Linked DNA regions of Caenorhabditis elegans. The protein of the gene in region 2 purifies or fractionates together with the protein of the main gene of each other region. This does not show direct contact. Each region holds a gene or a part of one and is shown on either strand. Other genes may lie near its edges.

Region 1 (3,391 bases), on a different chromosome or scaffold from region 2:
AGGATTCGTTTGGCACGGTGATGTTTTCTCACAGAACTTTCCAAGAAAACCAGCTTCACATTCACATTTATATTCGGTGTCGCTTGTTGGCTGAAAACTATTTTTTGAGTAACAGTGCTTACTTGTCTTCATTTGTGTTACCTTGCATTTCCCAGCATTAACACAATTGTGGTTCTGGCAAACGTTACTTGCTGACTTAACACATCCTTCCTCTCCAATTCCGTCACCAACATATCCATCTGGACAGTAGCAAGTGTAGTCTCCAACAGCACTGTATCCGTCGTCAGTTACCTTGCATGTTGCTAATTTATGGCATTTGTTTTTGACACAACTATCATCTTTCACACAATTTCCTCCATCGCCGGAGTATCCAGTCGGACACGAATCACAATAATAACTGCCAAGAGTGTTATGACATTTTGAAAGCGGAGAGCATACACGAATTTCACCTTCACATTCGTTGACATCAATACAAACATTTCCATCGGCTGAATTTATTTTACTTTTTGGATTTCAATGACAGATATTCAGTACATTTTTCGACACCTTCAAACTAACAAATTCTGATTTTTCACATTGTTAAGCCGAAGTTTATAAGACTTTCTCTCCTCATTCTCGGAACTGAGAAATCCAAACAAGTATTTTCACAAAAAAAGCTTGAAATTTGTAAGTGTTATACAGGGTAGGCACTTGTTCAGGCGTACGTGTCTACCTCATGCCTACCACACACCTATTGACCTATTTAAATGCCTACTTACCTATTTTATGAAAACGTTTTGGATACGAGTATATATTTTCTAGACAAGAATTAAACCAAAAAAATTATTTTATTTTTGATTTGATTGAACATATATAATTCTAACTTACTTTTATATCCTTTTGGACATCCGGAACACACAAACGATCCAGGCAAATTAATACAATCAACTCCTGGATGACATGGATTTGATTCGCATTCATTGACATCAACACACGTTGGATTGTTCTTATCACTTGAAACCTTGAAACCCCAATCACAAATACACTTGTACGTAGTTGTATCGGAAGATGACTGACCAGTTGGATCCACAATACTCTCAATACAATGCCCATGTGGACCACACAATTCAAAAGTTTTCGAGCAAGCGGACATATGATACTGACAAAGAGATCCATGATATCCGGATTGGCACTGACATTCAAATCCGCCACGGTTATTGATACATGTTCCATTGTTCTGACATCCAGCAGTTGTACCATTGTATACTGAGCATTCATCGATGTCAGCTTCACAAGTTGTACCGGTGAAATGTGGAGGACAAAGACAAGTGAATTTGGCGCCAAAAGATGGGATACATGTGCCTCCATTACTACATTTGTTCGGATCGCACGCGTTTATTGCTATCAATTTGTTGATTCCTCTTGAAAGTTAACAATTTATAAAAAATAGTCAAACCTAACTTGTTGTGTCTTACATGATTTGACGTGTCATTTTCACCAATAATCCCCGTCTCCTCATGTCTCTGGCCATTTTATCAGTTTTCCACTTCTTCAAGATATTCACTTCGAGTGTCATATTTCGAAGCTAAAAATTGATTTCAAAAAGAGAAAAAAATGTATGGAATTACCGCTACTAGATAATGTTTTGCAGAATTTAAAACCACTCTCATTGCAGAAGTCTGCGTGTCCTGGCGACTTTTCAAAGTGGTGAACATTTGAGAAGTGTTCTCAATACGTCCAACAAGTTGCTTGAAAGATGCCTGAAAATTATTTTGAATATTGAAAATTGTAATTCGAGTTAATTTTCAAAAACTTCCATAGTTCAAACATTTTCAAACAATTATTCATTTTGAAAAGTTTTATAAAAATAATAGAACTTAATTATCAAAATTTACGTGACCGTTTCTCAGGAAAGTGATTCTTTTTAAATAGTTGTCAAAAAGTAAATTTTTGCGTGATCTCCGACTATCTAATTCCAACTCTTACTCGTAATCCACGTTTCGTTCCTTTTTCTAATCTGACCGTCTATGTTTTAATCAGTTCTTGAAACATGGGCAAGAAGAAGTCTGATACGGCATCCGGTGGAGCTATTCCAGAAGGAGACAATGAGAAAGGAAAGAAGGTTAGTTAAATTTTTCATTATAGTGTTCCCAGAAAACCTATTGATTTTCAGATCTTCAAACAACGTTGCGAGCAATGTCACGTTGTCAACTCATTGCAAACAAAGACTGGACCAACATTGAACGGAGTGATTGGAAGACAATCCGGACAAGTTGCTGGATTTGACTACTCGGCTGCCAACAAGAATAAAGGAGTTGTATGGGACAGACAAACACTTTTCGACTATTTGGCTGATCCGAAAAAGTACATCCCCGGAACTAAGGTAGGATTTTCTAGGAAGTGCGATGGAGTATTAATAAGAAATTTTCAGATGGTCTTCGCTGGTTTGAAGAAAGCTGACGAACGAGCTGATCTCATCAAATTTATTGAAGTGGAAGCTGCCAAGAAACCATCGGCATAAGCCTCTACTAAATAAGAAATCTGTGTGTTAAGCAAAGCAACGTATCAAAAATAAATGTTTTGTAGAAGCTCGTTCATTTTTTTTTTGGATAATTTCAGCAGTCTACCTACAATATCTGGAAGTTTGGAAACATCTGTTTCGTCCACATATATTCTTCCATTTCCAGTCGTTTTGAACGTTATATTTTTATCCTTTCCGGCATGCAACCACACATTTCCATCAACCATTAGAATACGTGATCTGAAATGTTTTCGGACGTAATTTTGAAAAAAAATTAAAGGATTCGTTACCTTGTTTCATATGAATCTTCGATGTGTATTTCTTCATAGTCAATTGAAGATACATGATTTAATAAGCCGAATAGTATTAATGAAAGAAATAACTGTAAGTTAGGTATCATTTGTTGCGAAAATGAAATGAAATTAATGGAGTTGCACGGTGGAGGGTGAATAATTTGTTTATGTCATTGATACCTGATTGGAAATTGAGACGATCCATTTGTTTATAACAGATTATGTAAGAGAACACCTGCCAATGTTTAGGTTATGAGTAACTAGTGGGCCGTTGAATTTGTGTTCGGTTTTAATGAAAAAACTGTTAAGCTGGCTGAAACTCAGGTATCAAAATATGATGGTGTTGAATACTCTCCAAATAATCGCTCTAAAAAAGTGTCAGGCTGTACAGATATAACAAATGTATCTTATTAATAGTTCAAAAATAATATTTCGTGCAAACTGATTGGTCTGGCATGTGGTAAACAAATAAGCCAGCAGTTGAGATGTAGGCAGGCACGAGGTAGGCACGAAGACAATTCCACTGCTTTAATTGGAAATATTTTCAGGTATTAATCTGCTTTTTCAAAAATATTTTCTTACACAACATTTCGCATAA
Region 2 (4,103 bases):
TCGCGACAAAGGACAAGCAAAAATCTATGGAATTCCTGTCAAAAATTGGAAACGTCATCAACAAGGACAAGATTGCCGTTGCTCGACTTCATACCGGAGAGATTGAAGCCAGACTGGAGAACAAGGACAAAAATGGACAGATTATTGATCTGAAGAGCATTCGAACTCAAATCGATTCGACACAACACGAAGTGGACTCACTTGTCGGAGTTACAGAAGTTCATGCCCCGTTCTACCGCGTCTCATCTTTATATCTTCGTGAAGTTGGAGACTTCGCTGGATATTATCGCGAAGCTCTTCGTTATCTTGGAGTTGAGGACGCCAATAATCTGACAACAGAACAGAAGCAAGTCCATGCGGTTCTTCTCGGTTTCGCTGCTCTTCTGGGAGAAAACGTGCACAACTTCGGAGAATTGGTTTGTTGAAACTCTCAATTTAAATTCCCCCAATAAACGGTTTTTTCAGCTTGCTCACCCCATCCTCAAATCGCTCGAAGGAACTCGTGAACGCTGGATCGTGGACGTGCTTCTTGCCTTCAATTCGGGAGATTTGACGCGCTTCTTCTCGCTCGAAGGAGATTGGGGAGGCTGGGACGATTTGAAGAAGCAAAAGGATTTCCTGACTGCCAAAATCCGTCTGATGGCTGTCATGGAACTTGCAGTCTCTCGTCCAACCAAAGCCAGAAGCGTTTCATTCAAAGAAATCGCCACGAAGTGCCAGATCCCATTCGACGAAGTTGAGTTCTTGGTGATGAAGGCGTTGAGCAAGGATCTCATTCGTGGAGATATCAATCAAGTTGAGCAAGTTGTCTACGTGACATGGGTGCAGCCAAGAGTTTTAGATAATCCTCAGGTATAAGAATTGATTATAAGTTTTTAAAATACTTATTTTCTTTTTTTCAGATAATGCAAATGGCGACTCGCATTTCCGCATGGAGGAACGATGTCAACTCCATGGAAGGAATCGTCAGCAAAGAGGCACGCGAGATTCTCACTCAAAATTAAATCATCTCATTTCTTTAATTTATTTTCTCCATGCTCCCCCATCCCAATCCCGGAATCCTCTATTTTTATAATTACACTGCTACGTGTATTCTACAATTTCAAGATCGTTCAGTCTTCTTTCTGTGTGTATTTATTTGAATTCATAAATTAATCGACTGTGAATATATTGAATTTTCTCGATGTCAGATGTGACTAACACCGTGTCAATAGTTCACTAGTACTTTTCAATACTTAACATTCGGGTTCTCTTCGTCTTCGAGTAATGTAGTACTGTGATTGTTCCAGCCATGGTTGATCTTTCAAAAAACGACGGAGGCAGTGGAAAAGCCGGAAAAGGTGTGAGTGATGCCATCGATACAGTCCTCTACTACGTTGTTGATCTGAAAAAGCAGCAGCCGATGGTCCAGCTGGGTGTTGGTGCTGGATTCGGGACAGTGACTGGATATTTTGTCACCAAGGTATTTAAAATTGGTGGTTCTAGAGAAATATTTAATTTTTAAATATTTTCAGGGAGGACGTCTTGTTGCTGCCACAGTGGGAATCTCTTTCCTGTTGGCTCAATTCGCTATTCACAAAGGATACATCACGCTGAACGAATCAAAAATCGAACGAGACATGAAAAATCTACACAAGTCCGTCATGAACAAGTAAGCTTGAATTTTACGAAAAAAAAATAGAATAAAACGAAAATCGTATATTATTCAATTTTTCAGAGTATCCGGCAAGAAAGTTATCAACATTTCCGATTCATTTGTCTCCGAATACCGGTGGATTCTTGGCGGATTCGCAGCTGGGATGCTGATTGGATTTAGCGTCGCCTAAATGTGGAAAATTGTGAAGCTTCAGTTGGTTTTTATCTACGATCTGTACTATTTATAATCGAGTTGCTCGATATGATGCATAAATAACTTTTTCTCACTCTCCATTGTCTAGTCATGCTGTCTATTTTTTTCTTCACATTGACTGATAAATTATACACCCTTACCTTCTCATCTTTTAATTCTTGCAAAACTTATGGTTTATTCCATAACTTTTCTCTTTTTGAACTCGATTTTGTGCTGAAAATTTTTTGAAACGTAAGTTTGCAACGACACTCCGTAGTTACGCGGCCCGTATGACGCGTAGTTTATTTTTAAGGCCTTTTTTCTCTAGTTTCATCATTTCCGTGCGCCACCTGCCTATTTAACCGTCATTTCCCCAACTATAGTTTAGTTTTCAGATAAAATTACATCATGGGCTCTTCACAATCGACGCCAAAGGTGAGTTTTCTATAATTTCAGTTAAAAGAAAACACGTATGAATTTATTTTCAGGTGCAAGATGCCAACGCCGATGCTGAGAGAATTCGTAAGGCTCAACACAGCATGGCTGCTGCTGGAGGAGGATCTCAATGCCCATTAACACCTGAACAGAGAGCTGCTGCATCTGGAGAGAATTGTGGAGCTGGTGGCGCTTGCCCGGTTGGTGCTGACAAGGCTTCTATCAATCCACTCAACAATGTGAGTTCAAAATAGAGTTTTCTGAAGCCAACTTTGAAAATTCAGGAGCTCGAACATCCAAATCAAAAGCCAGCCCCAGATCAGCCATTCGCACTTCCAACGAAACGAGAGAAGTCTACAATCCCGAAAGCTGGAACAGAAACTGAAACCTGGACCTATCCAAGTCCCCAAATGTTCTGGAACGCCATGCTGAAGTGAGTTTTTGATTGATAAATGTTTATTGTTGATTTTAAATTTGAATTTCAGAAAAGGATGGAGATGGCAAGATGACTCGCTGAGCAAAAGCGACATGGAAAACATTATCAGCATCCATAACGCTAACAACGAGGAGGCATGGAGAGAGGTGTTGAAATGGGAGAATCTTCTTCATCCGTAAGCTCATGAAAATTCCAACATCTGAATAATTTATAATTTCAGGGAATGCGCAGAGCCGAAACTGAAAAGCTTCAAAGGAGATGCCAAGAACCTATCGCCAAGAGCTCGTTTCCGCAACTTGTTCCTCGGATACGATCTCCCATTCGATCGTCACGATTGGATTGTTGATAGATGCGGAACCAAGCAAGTTCAGTACGTCATTGACTACTACGATGGTGGTGCTGTGGATCCAAGCTCAAAGCTTTTCACTATTCTTGATGTTCGACCGGCCGTGAATGATATTGGAAACATCTGGGATCGAATGGTTGTTGCTTATTGGAGATTCAAATTCGAGACACTTGGATTCACACCGAGCCTGCCGATTCCACCAACTGAAGGACACAATGTCAACCATTAATAAGTATCGCATTATCATCAAAATTATTTCCAATAATTTACCCACCGCTCCATAAGCCTAATAACAGTTTCGCAATTAGCATATTTCGTAGATAGATTAGTGTTCTTTTTTTCCCCCTCGTTATCATTGTTTGCTGTTAATTGTCTTTTTTCTCCGCATGGAGCCCCGTTTGCTCATGATCTTTCAGTGTCTTCCGTCAACTACCCGTTACTTTACTGTGTTCCACCGAAATACCGTTTTTCCTTCTTTTCTTATCGATTCTCCCAATGAAAAATGGTCTGGTTATTCGGAAAGTTTGAAATTTATAGAAAAGCGGAAGAATAATCACCCTAGAGATCTTTAGATATCACAACAACAGACAGTTGTCAGGTTCCAAAAATTTAGAAGCCATGTGGCTGCTAGCCAGCAAACAGCTGACCAAGTTCTCCCAACTTCCAAGAGTTTCTCTGTTGAGCCAAGGAATCCAGAATGTGAGGCAAGGATTCCGAAGAAACTTTGGAATATCGGTGAAAGATGTCGACGACAAATCCAGAAAACGCATCGGATGGTGGCTTATGGGATGTGCTGGAATGTGCTACGGTGCTGTGGCGCTTGGAGGAGTCACCAGGTGCTTATTAATGTATTTTTTCAACTAAATATAAAATTTCAGATTAACCGAATCAGGACTGAGCATGGTGAACTGGGATCTGTTCAGAACGATGAAACCGCCATTCGGACAGAAGCAATGGGAAGAGGAATTTGAGAAATATAAAGCTTATCCAGAATATAAATAGTAAGATAAAAAAGACACCAAATTTTGCGCCAAAACTACGGTACCAGGTCTCACCGC
Region 3 (4,514 bases), on a different chromosome or scaffold from region 2:
GTGTGTGTGTGAAAAGCTAGTTTTTTTAAACATTTTTCAGGGAAAAATAATAATATTTTCGCTTTTTTAAAAACTTTTTTCAAAAAATCGGCAGAAACTTTCTTTTCGAATGAAATAGTTTTATTTTCTAAAAATAGAGAAATTTCAGAAAATTCTTGGAAAAATGATTTTTATCCTCTCGAAAAATAGGGAAACAGAATTTTTCGATTTTCAGAAAAATGAGCTCTAGCACAGCCCCGTGTAGATTTACGCAGCGTGTGTACTCCGCGAGTAGTAGGATTTTATGGTTTTTTTGGCAAAATATCCCTTATTTCGGGCATTTTTTAATGTTCAAATACTAAAAATAAGGATAAATTAGCATTTTTAACGTTGAAAACGAAACATTTTAACAAAAATGGCTCAAAATCAAGAATTTCTGCCAAAAACTACAAAATCTTCTCCTCGGGGAGTACACGAGCCGCGTAAATCATCGACAGTTAGTGTGAAAAGCTAGTTTTTTTCGCTTTTGAGGTATTTTTCGGGCCATATTCTCTTTTTCCAATCAATTTTCACCTTGAACTTGTGGGAATCGAGCCAAATTGCACTCGCAGACTTCCAGAATTGCCGTTGGATATTTCTGAAATTTAAAAAAAATCGATTTTTGGGTGATTTCTAGCGGGAAAAATCGATTTTTTCACAAAAAAATCCCAATTTTAAAGCGTACTTCGTGCTTAAACTCTTCTTCCTTAATACAACACTGAAGACAATCGGTGAGCAGCGTTTCCAGATGATAATCCGATAGTCGTTCGCATAATCCGCACTGAAAATTTACGAAAATTTCAGATTTTTGCCAAGATTTTCAGGAGAAAAACCTTTAAAGTCTCCGGATTGAATCCCGCCGCCTTGCACTCCTCTACATCAATTTTATACTCTTCAACTTCACCGAACATAGGCGAAACCACGGCGGCCAGCAGCAGGAAAATCACCCACATTTTGCTGGAAATTTTTATTTTTTTTTGTTTTGTTTTGGAATAGCAAAAAATCCATGAAAAATGAGTGAAAATCCCCATTAAAATACGTGGAAAATGCTCCAAAATTGGCTCAAATCGACGTCAGCAGTGCAAACACCGCCGGGTACCGCCACACCATATTTGACGACAGTTTTGGGCAAAGTTTGGAGGGAACCCATTCACGGGAGGGAAAATAGGGGAAAAGTACAAGTTTATATAGCTAAAAATCCATATTTTTCGGGGGGAAAATTGGGTAAAAAGCACGAAAATGTCGGAAACTATCGATTTTTCGATTTCTGCGATGAAAATACGGTACTGGGTCTCGACTCGACAGGATTTTTTTTCATTCTAAAAGGTGTGCGCCTTTAAAGAGTACTGTCATTTTAAATATTCGGGGTTTTAATCGATTTTTAATAGTTTTTCGATAAAAATGTATTTGACAACAAATTACAGTACTCTTTAAAGGCGCACACACATGTTTTCCATTTAACAAAAATTTGTCGTGTCGAGACCTGGTACCGTATTTCTGGCGCAAAAACCGAACAACTTCAGAGAGGACAAATTGAATGCATGTTTTAATTTAAATCTAGAAAATTAATTTTCAACAAAAATTGAATAATTATTCCGTGAAATTGCCATTTTGAACTTCGAATTGAACTTAGAATTCAAATTTTTCAAAAAAAAAAAACCGACAACCTGTGAGAAAATAAATTTATTGTTATTTTCTTCTCGGCTAGCGGAAAGACGGCGAGGATAAAATCTGATTTCTTGGAAAAGTCAAAACCGATTCACATAAAGGTAACTTTTTTGCTTCTTTTCTAGGTGGCCTAGGAAAAGCGAAAACTCGGCCAGCGTATGTTTCCGGGAATTTGCCGAAAATTCTCATCAAAAGCCTTTTTCGCAGAATTTTAAAGTTTTTTATAGCTGAGAGAAAGTTTTGATATCTTGAAATTTCTTGATTTAATTTTTTTTCTCCCCAGACACCGATAAGTCTAGGTCTAAGCCCCCCCCCCCTCAGCCTAACCTTAGGCCTGAACCTAAGCCTAAGCATAAAGCCTAAGCCTAAAGTCTAAAGCCTAATCCTAAGCCAAAGTCGAAGCCTAAGCCAGAATCTAAGCCTAAGCCTGTACCTAAGCCTAAGCCTAAAGTTAAGCCTGCCTAACCATAAGCAAAAGCTCGAGGCTAAGCCTAAGCATGAATCTATGTCTAAGCCTAAGGCCACGCATAAGCCTAAGCCTAAAAATCAGCAAAATGTGCTCCCATAGCAATTCTACGGGCCTCCACAACAATTCTGAGCCATAAATTTCCAGATTCAAAAATGGAAGCACACCGCGCCGAGCAACCACAGTGCACGAAATCGGGTAAAGTAATTCTAAAGCCTGGATATGATATGACAGACGGACTGAGTGAGATTGATGACTGGGCTCCGGAAAAGAAAAAACGGGCGAAAAAAGTGCCCTCTAAGCCACGTGAAGGGCCCAAGTTGATCGACGAATTTGAGGAAAAGGAATCGGAGAAAGAGGCGGCGGAAAAGGAGAAGGAAAAAGAGAAGGAAAAAGAGAAAACCCATGAGAAAAACGAGGCGGATAAGGAGGAAAAAGAGGCAGAAAAGGAAGAGGAAAAGGAGGAAAAACCACCGAAGGAAGTCACTGAGGAGAAGGAAAAAGAGAAGGAAAGAGAGAAGACTAAGACGAAGGATGAACTCGAAGAGGTCTGATTTATTGATTTTTATATGGAAAAATCAAATGAAAATCGATAATTGCAAAGCTGCCACATGGTGTAAGGTTGTCCCATCACCGCTCGATCTACAATAAATCCGGGAAATTTCGCCCAGAAAAGTGTGACGTCAGAGGGAAACCTTGCGGCTCGCTTCCCGCATTTTTTGTAGATCACGCGGTCAGCTCGACACCACGTGAGCTGTTCGGATTTTTTCTCTCAGTGCACGTGGCGTCAGAGTGTATCATTTCGGCTTGATCTACGTATATCTACAAAAAAAGCGGGAGAAGAGACGCAGAGTTCTCAACTTTGTTGTTGTTGTTGTGCAACAACGCGGCGCTAGCGCCGTTCTAGACGCCCGCCGTATGTGCTCCACCGCCCGGATCGAAGGGTTTATAGGCCAGCCCGAGGGCACGGGCGGCTTCTTTGGGGGACGTCCACAGATTTTCTTTCAGGATCGGCTTCGATCTACTGCAGGTTAGGTAGTGTGATCTAGGCCACCCTCATCATCTCCACAGCTACATGTCCCGACTGGAGTTCGTCACATAATTTGGGCAAAAAATTTCCGCATTTTTGGTAGATCAAACGTGGCACCACGTGTGTATCGACGAATGGCCGTGAAAAAGGATTTAAGGATATTTCCCGTAGATTTTTTGGATTTATCGATTTTTTTTTCGTAGAAAAATCGATAATTTTGCGTAATTTTTCACAAGAAAATGTATCGTTGTGGATCGATATTGAAAATTGCTACAGAAAATCGATAAAATTTCACTCACTACTCCTTTTTCCAGGCGCCAAGGGAGAAGGAAACGATGGAAAAGAAGCAAAAATCAAAGGACGAAGACGAAGGGGACCTATCGAAGGAGGAAATTTTGAAAATTAAGAAAGCGTTGAAAAAGGAGAAAAAGCTGAGGGATCGAGAGCGATTGAAAACGGAGAAAATCGATAAATCGACGGAAACGAAGAACTCGACGACTCCCAGCACGGAAAAGGAGAAAAGTTCGATGAAAAAGACGAAAAAGGAGGCTGCCGTGGCCACCGGCACCTCCGGCAGCGCCAAGAAAAAGGGTAAATTATCGATTTTTCAGAATAAAAATCAATTATTGATTTTTCAGTGAGACCACCGGCCCCCCCTCCGCCGCCGACAAAGCGAAAGCCTAAAGATATACGGGCGAAGAAGAAGGTGTGCTGCACGATTTTGTGAACTTTTTCCCTTTATTAAAATGAATAATTCGCTTTGATTTATTGATTTTTCATAAACTATTTGGCTTTAAAAATAAAAATTTCGGAAAAAAACGATGTTCCGATATTCTGTCGAATTTTTTATTTTTTATAGCGAACAGTTAACAAAAAAAACGCTTAAAAATAAGCGATTCGGTTGGAAAAGTTTCAAATTTCGCTACAAAATTAAAATTTCACGCGCGTAATTCGTAAAAATCATCGAAACAGCCGATCATTTTTAGATTTTTTTTAATGAATAACCGCTATTTTTAATGTTTTTTCACTACAAAACTGATGAAACCGCGGAAAAACCGAAATTTCAATCAAAAAAAATTAATTCTAAACAAAAATTTAAATTTTTAAAATTCAAAACACAAACGACACTCCGATATTCCGCTTGCGCGCCCTGTTTAGCGGACTGTTTTTTACATTTTTTTTTTAAGTTTTCGATCGAAAAATACGGGAAATCAGAAAATAAAGCAATTTTATCGTTCAAAAAGCTAAAAAAATCCAATAAAAATCGATTATTTCTTCTCGGGCACGACGGATCGATATAATCGCTTGAAAATCGATACTTTCGGCTGTAGA
Region 4 (5,095 bases), on a different chromosome or scaffold from region 2:
AACTTCTTCACAATGCTGCAAAACATAAACCAAAGTTTGTGATTCACTATTGGACTTTTGGAATATTTGACTTTATAAAATAAAAAACGAGACACAAAAATATTGTTTCACAAACCATTCATCAAACTTCAAAAAAAAAAGTTTCAATCCGTAGAGACTCACTCAAACATTCACTTTCAATGACAATAGCCAACTGCCGTGCTAATAATTGAACAAACTGACAGTATACTTCATTTCACGCTTGTTTCAAGCGAATGTTCAGCTTGGCTTATAGCAGTTTTTTCAGAGACCCGAGCTTTTATAAAATTCCGGTGGACTCATAAAATATGGTCACAAAACCAAAAAACGAAAAGCATCATTCATCCATACCAAATGATTTATGTGGTAATCAAAGCTTAAAATGAAATTCTTATGATTTCTGATTCTTTGATTCTAAAGCTTGAAAAATGTGATTCTAAAGCTTGAAAACAAGCTTGAAATATAATTTTGTTTGCCATGAGATTTTTGGATAAAAGACGATTTTTTTGCAATTATCGTTCACAAAATTGTTCTTTACAACTATCCCGAATGAAACTACTGAAAATTAAACATTATATGATTATTGTGGAATATTATTTTGAACTAAATTATCAGCTTTGATTATTTGAAATTGAAATTCCGGCAAGGAAGTAATCGTACTTTTATAAAAATTTTCATAGCCCATAAGTTCACATTTTCCCGTCCAAAAACAATTGTCTCTATAAATATGTTCATTGAACCTCTTTTTCCTAAATTTCCGCATTTTCCCACTATTTCTCTCAATTCTCCCAATTATGTTGTTGTTTGTGAGTGTCACCATAGGCCGTTCTACGGAGAGTTTTGTTTGTATGTCTCGGTTCTCTTCATCTCTCGGTTTTCAAGAAAAGGGATTTTCCATTTTAACGTTTTTGCACTTTTTTTTAAAGCTAGTGATACCGATTTTTAAAAAAAACAATTAAGACGTATCATTTTCAAACTTAAAGGTTAAACTTTCAAACGACAAATTTTGATTTTTGAGCGTTTCGTTCCAATATGAAGGATCATGTTTCCTTCAACTGATCGTTTCGACGTTTTTTCTTCTCCAGTTTTTCTTGTTTACTTCGTTTAACCTTGATGATCTTCTAGTGGTTTATTGTCGAGATTTTCATTCAAAATTTACTAATTTCAATAAGATTTAAATCTAAAGTTTAGAGTCTTTGATGTATAAATTGGACATACTGAAAATTAAACGTTTTGGAAAATTTTCCGTAAGTACAGAAACATAGTTTCAAATAAAAAATTCGAAAACATTTCTAACCATTACGATTAATCAGAAAAAAAAAATAATTCAGAAAATAACGCTTCGTTTACAAAAACCTTCCACGCAAACAAATATTGTTTACCAAAAACTGATAACGTGGATGTTTTGAAATATGTTGTTGTTTTCCCACATCTTCGTTGATTTTTCTCTTTGAAGCTCTGGTATTTCAAGACTTAAAAGCATTTTTTGGCTTTCACCTTGACTTTCTTTTACCCTAGTTTAATAAGTATACAAGGTGTGAACTAAAAATTGTAACGATCACAAAGTTTCTTTTTCTCTGTGGTCAACTATCCTAGATACATGCCAGTGTCAGGCATTTGTCAGCATTTCCATTTGCCGCCTAGCAAATAGACCCAGCCTTTCGTGTGCTTCTCTTTTCCTTTTTCTTGTTCCTACAACTCAAAGTGCTCCAATTGGTCTCTGTAGCCCCATTTTTATATTTTTGTTATTTTTTGTACGAAGAATTTGCCCGAAACCTCTAGGACAAAGTTTGAAAACTGTACGTTTTTTCAATTAAACTTTCATCTATAGACTCTTATTGATAACAAAAATTGATGACTGATGACTACGTTTATTTATCATTCTTTTCCTTGATTTTCTGAAAAAAAAACGAATTTACACGTACATTTCTTTAATATTCCAGTATAATAACAATGGCTCTCGCCAATTGGCTAACCCCTGTTGAGCCGGAATGTGACAATGATGATTCTCCGGCAGTGGAGGAAATTCTCGGTAGAATCGAAGATGTACCGCCAGGAACGTAAGTAATTTCAACTTTTTAAAAACAGTTCTCTAAAGTTTTAAAAAGAAAATTTAAAAAATAACATTGTCTTTTTCCAGTAAGAAAATGTTCGAAGTTCGTGATCGTAAAGTTTTGGTGATTAACGACGAGGGTCGAATTTACGCTATTAATGGATTGTGTTCTCATTACAATTTCTCATTGGAGAATGGAACATATGCAAAAGGAAGAATTAGGTGCCCACTTCATGGAGCTTGCTTTAATGTTCGATCGGGAGATATTGAAGACTATCCAGGCTTTGACAGTCTTCATTCTTATGTGGTAAGTGGCACCCAAAAATTTATTGTTTTCGCATTTTTGGACAAATTCTTTTTTGAAAAGTTGGAGGTGACTGATTAAACTTTGTTGTCCTTTTTTTGTAATCAAACAATTATATTTTTCCAGGTTACTGTCAACGATGGAAACCTTATTATCAAGACAACTGAAAAGAAGCTAGGTTCTGATCGTCGAATTCGACATCTTCCAAAAATGAAGCAGTGTAATGATCGACCAGTTGTGATTATCGGTGGTGGTGTAGCTACAGCTACATTCATTGAGCATTCTCGACTTAATGGTCTTATAACCCCAATTTTAGTAATCTCAGAAGAGTCTTTGCCGCCTTATGATAGAGTCTTGCTGTCTAAGGTAATGTTAAATCTTTTTTTCTAAATTACCTATGATTTTCAGAAACCAGCAGCAACCGGAGAGGATATTCGTTTGAGAAAAGATGATGCGTTTTACGAAGAGAGAAATGTCAAATTTCTTTTGAAAACATCGGTGATTGCAGTAAATCATAAAAGTAGAGAAGTCAGTTTATCGAACGGAGAAACTGTTGTTTATTCAAAACTAATTATTGCTACTGGAGGAAATGTTAGAAAGTTGCAAGTACCCGGATCAGATTTGAAAGTGAGAGTAAAACGAAAATCTGAAAAATATAAACATGTGCAATTTCCAGAATATTTGCTACCTTCGTAAAGTAGAAGAAGCCAACATAATTTCCAACCTTCATCCTGGGAAGCACGTCGTCTGTGTAGGCTCATCATTTATCGGAATGGAAGTGGCATCCGCTCTGGCAGAAAAAGCTGCGTCAGTTACAGTTATTTCCAATACTCCGGAGCCTCTTCCAGTTTTTGGATCAGATATTGGTAAAGGAATCCGTCTGAAGTTTGAAGAAAAAGGAGTAAAGTTCGAGCTGGCTGCAAATGTGGTTGCTCTTCGTGGAAACGATCAAGGAGAAGTCTCAAAAGTTATTTTAGAGAATGGAAAAGAGCTTGATGTAGATCTTCTTGTTTGTGGAATTGGTGTTACCCCAGCCACTAAGTTTTTGGAAGGATCTGGTATCAAATTGGACAATAGAGGATTCATTGAAGTTGATGAAAAGTTTAGAGTGGGTTTAGTTTATTTTATGATGCTTTTTTAATCTCTAATACTTCAGACTAATATCAGCTACATCTTCGCAATGGGTGATGTTGTCACAGCTCCTCTCCCACTTTGGGATATTGACAGTATCAATATTCAACACTTCCAAACTGCTCAAGCACATGGTAAACCAGAAGATATTCAAATTTAACTATCGATGTTTAATATTTTAGGACAACATCTTGGATACACTATTGTTGGAAAACCTCAACCTGGACCTATTGTTCCATACTTTTGGACTCTGTTTTTCTTTGCGTTTGGTTTGAAGTTCTCAGGATGCAATCAAGGATCCACAAAGGAATACACTAATGGAGATCCTGAAACTGGAACTTTCATTCGATACTTCTTGAAGTAAGTGAACAATTATACATTTTTCATGTTAGTAAAAACTTTAAGAAAAGACAAAGTCGTAGCTGTAGCTGCTGGTGGTCCATCCAGTGTTGCCTCCCAGTTCGCTGAAATTTTCAAAAAAGGAATCGAAGTCACTCTGAAGGATTTGAAAAAGTTAGTTTTAATTTAAACATTAATGCAATTACCCAAATAAACTTGCAGCAGCAGCGATCACACTTGGGGACATCTTCTGCTATAGACGAGTGTAGGAATTCAGCAGTAAATAAATAAACTATTTGTTTGATTAAAAAAAATTTTTTTTGTGTTTTTTATGGAATGAACTAAAAACTGATTTATATGTATTCGCTGTTCCCAAAAATCCGATTTCTGAAAAAAAAAACCATTGGCTCTTCCTTTAATAAAAACTGAGAAATATTAGAAATATAACAATGCACCTGATTGTTTCACAAAAAACCACAGAACCAGTCAAAACTCTGAAAATGTATAAACTCAATTGAGATGCTCTTCTGTAGAGACTGATCTTCAGTAACCATAAAATGAACGTTTTCAACAAGGAAGTTCATAAAACGAGTGTAATTTTCACATGCAATAAATAACTACACTACAACTCTTTAGTTTGATTTGTGAAAATGCCAAAACTCACAAATCATGAGCAGTGTCACGTCTCAAATCCCAGACAGCAAACTGTGATAAGACTTGTAACTTAATCCACTCATTTGACTTGCATTTGACTCAACCCGGATACCAACCTTCTTACCCGGCTTATTCTCTCATTTCACTTCTTCATTTCTTGGCCCGGTGGTGATAAAACATTGGTTTTGATTGCGACGAGAGGCACTCACTCTTCCGTTTATCACTAACTCTTTGCTCATCCGGAGACCCTTGCTAATAGAGATAAACTTGTCGTTCTGTGTCTTGATATCATCCAACTCGTACCTTCTTCACCTTCTTTCTTTTTCATCTCTCTCACTCTTGGTCTATCACCTACATTTCACTCCACTGGATATACCGCCACCGTTTGTCACATGTGTCGACGAGTCCTCCTCTTTGTCATCGGGTCCGTGAGATATTAGAGAGTGTTTGATTGTGAGAGAGTATAGACAACGTAGCATTAGAGAAAACCTCCAGAGACTTGGCTCCACAGACCCTTTGCTCGATATCGATGTGATTATATGATAAAACTTTTTTGAACTTGATTATTATTTTTTGTTACACCTGTTACCTTGAAT

The links.
Region 1: the proteins of cchl-1 (region 2) and cyc-2.2 fractionate together in Caenorhabditis elegans (co-fractionation; one large-scale study listed by BioGRID). This does not show direct contact.
Region 3: the proteins of cchl-1 (region 2) and Y76B12C.4 fractionate together in Caenorhabditis elegans (co-fractionation; one large-scale study listed by BioGRID). This does not show direct contact.
Region 4: the proteins of cchl-1 (region 2) and F20D6.11 fractionate together in Caenorhabditis elegans (co-fractionation; one large-scale study listed by BioGRID). This does not show direct contact.

The regions. Positions count from the first base shown.
Region 1 is NC_003283.11:12,610,856-12,614,246, reverse strand, and holds cyc-2.2 (putative cytochrome c 2.2), read left to right. Parts: upstream 1-2,028; 5' UTR 2,029-2,029; coding exon 2,030-2,101; intron 2,102-2,152; coding exon 2,153-2,362; intron 2,363-2,410; coding exon 2,411-2,500; 3' UTR 2,501-2,565; downstream 2,566-3,391. Other genes in the region: cubn-1 (Cubilin homolog), read right to left, coding at 1-90, 142-488, 868-1,400, 1,455-1,564, 1,608-1,739, 2,611-2,740, 2,791-2,900. UniProt on the Caenorhabditis elegans protein: Electron carrier protein. The oxidized form of the cytochrome c heme group can accept an electron from the heme group of the cytochrome c1 subunit of cytochrome reductase.
Region 2 is NC_003280.10:11,234,508-11,238,610, reverse strand, and holds cchl-1 (putative holocytochrome-c-type synthase), read left to right. Parts: upstream 1-2,223; 5' UTR 2,224-2,236; coding exon 2,237-2,263; intron 2,264-2,316; coding exon 2,317-2,502; intron 2,503-2,547; coding exon 2,548-2,696; intron 2,697-2,748; coding exon 2,749-2,874; intron 2,875-2,919; coding exon 2,920-3,274; 3' UTR 3,275-3,559; downstream 3,560-4,103. Other genes in the region: rpn-9 (26S proteasome non-ATPase regulatory subunit 13), read left to right, coding at 1-416, 466-852, 903-1,004; FUN14 domain-containing protein fndc-1, read left to right, coding at 1,292-1,462, 1,515-1,651, 1,718-1,826; cox-15 (EOG090X04TT), read left to right, coding at 3,664-3,881, 3,924-4,046. UniProt on the Caenorhabditis elegans protein: Probable lyase that catalyzes the covalent linking of the heme group to the cytochrome C apoprotein to produce the mature functional cytochrome.
Region 3 is NC_003282.8:1,970,165-1,974,678, reverse strand, and holds Y76B12C.4 (Translation initiation factor IF-2), read left to right. Parts: upstream 1-2,307; coding exon 2,308-2,700; intron 2,701-3,496; coding exon 3,497-3,773; intron 3,774-3,820; coding exon 3,821-3,909; 3' UTR 3,910-3,998; downstream 3,999-4,514. Other genes in the region: Y76B12C.3 (Selenoprotein F), read right to left, coding at 553-616, 704-799, 852-971; Y48A5A.3 (Ubiquinol-cytochrome-c reductase complex assembly factor 2), read right to left, coding at 4,451-4,514.
Region 4 is NC_003283.11:8,195,961-8,201,055, reverse strand, and holds F20D6.11 (Rieske domain-containing protein), read left to right. Parts: upstream 1-1,961; 5' UTR 1,962-1,971; coding exon 1,972-2,078; intron 2,079-2,158; coding exon 2,159-2,378; intron 2,379-2,501; coding exon 2,502-2,741; intron 2,742-2,783; coding exon 2,784-3,002; intron 3,003-3,051; coding exon 3,052-3,483; intron 3,484-3,531; coding exon 3,532-3,640; intron 3,641-3,688; coding exon 3,689-3,866; intron 3,867-3,911; coding exon 3,912-4,019; intron 4,020-4,067; coding exon 4,068-4,104; 3' UTR 4,105-4,282; downstream 4,283-5,095.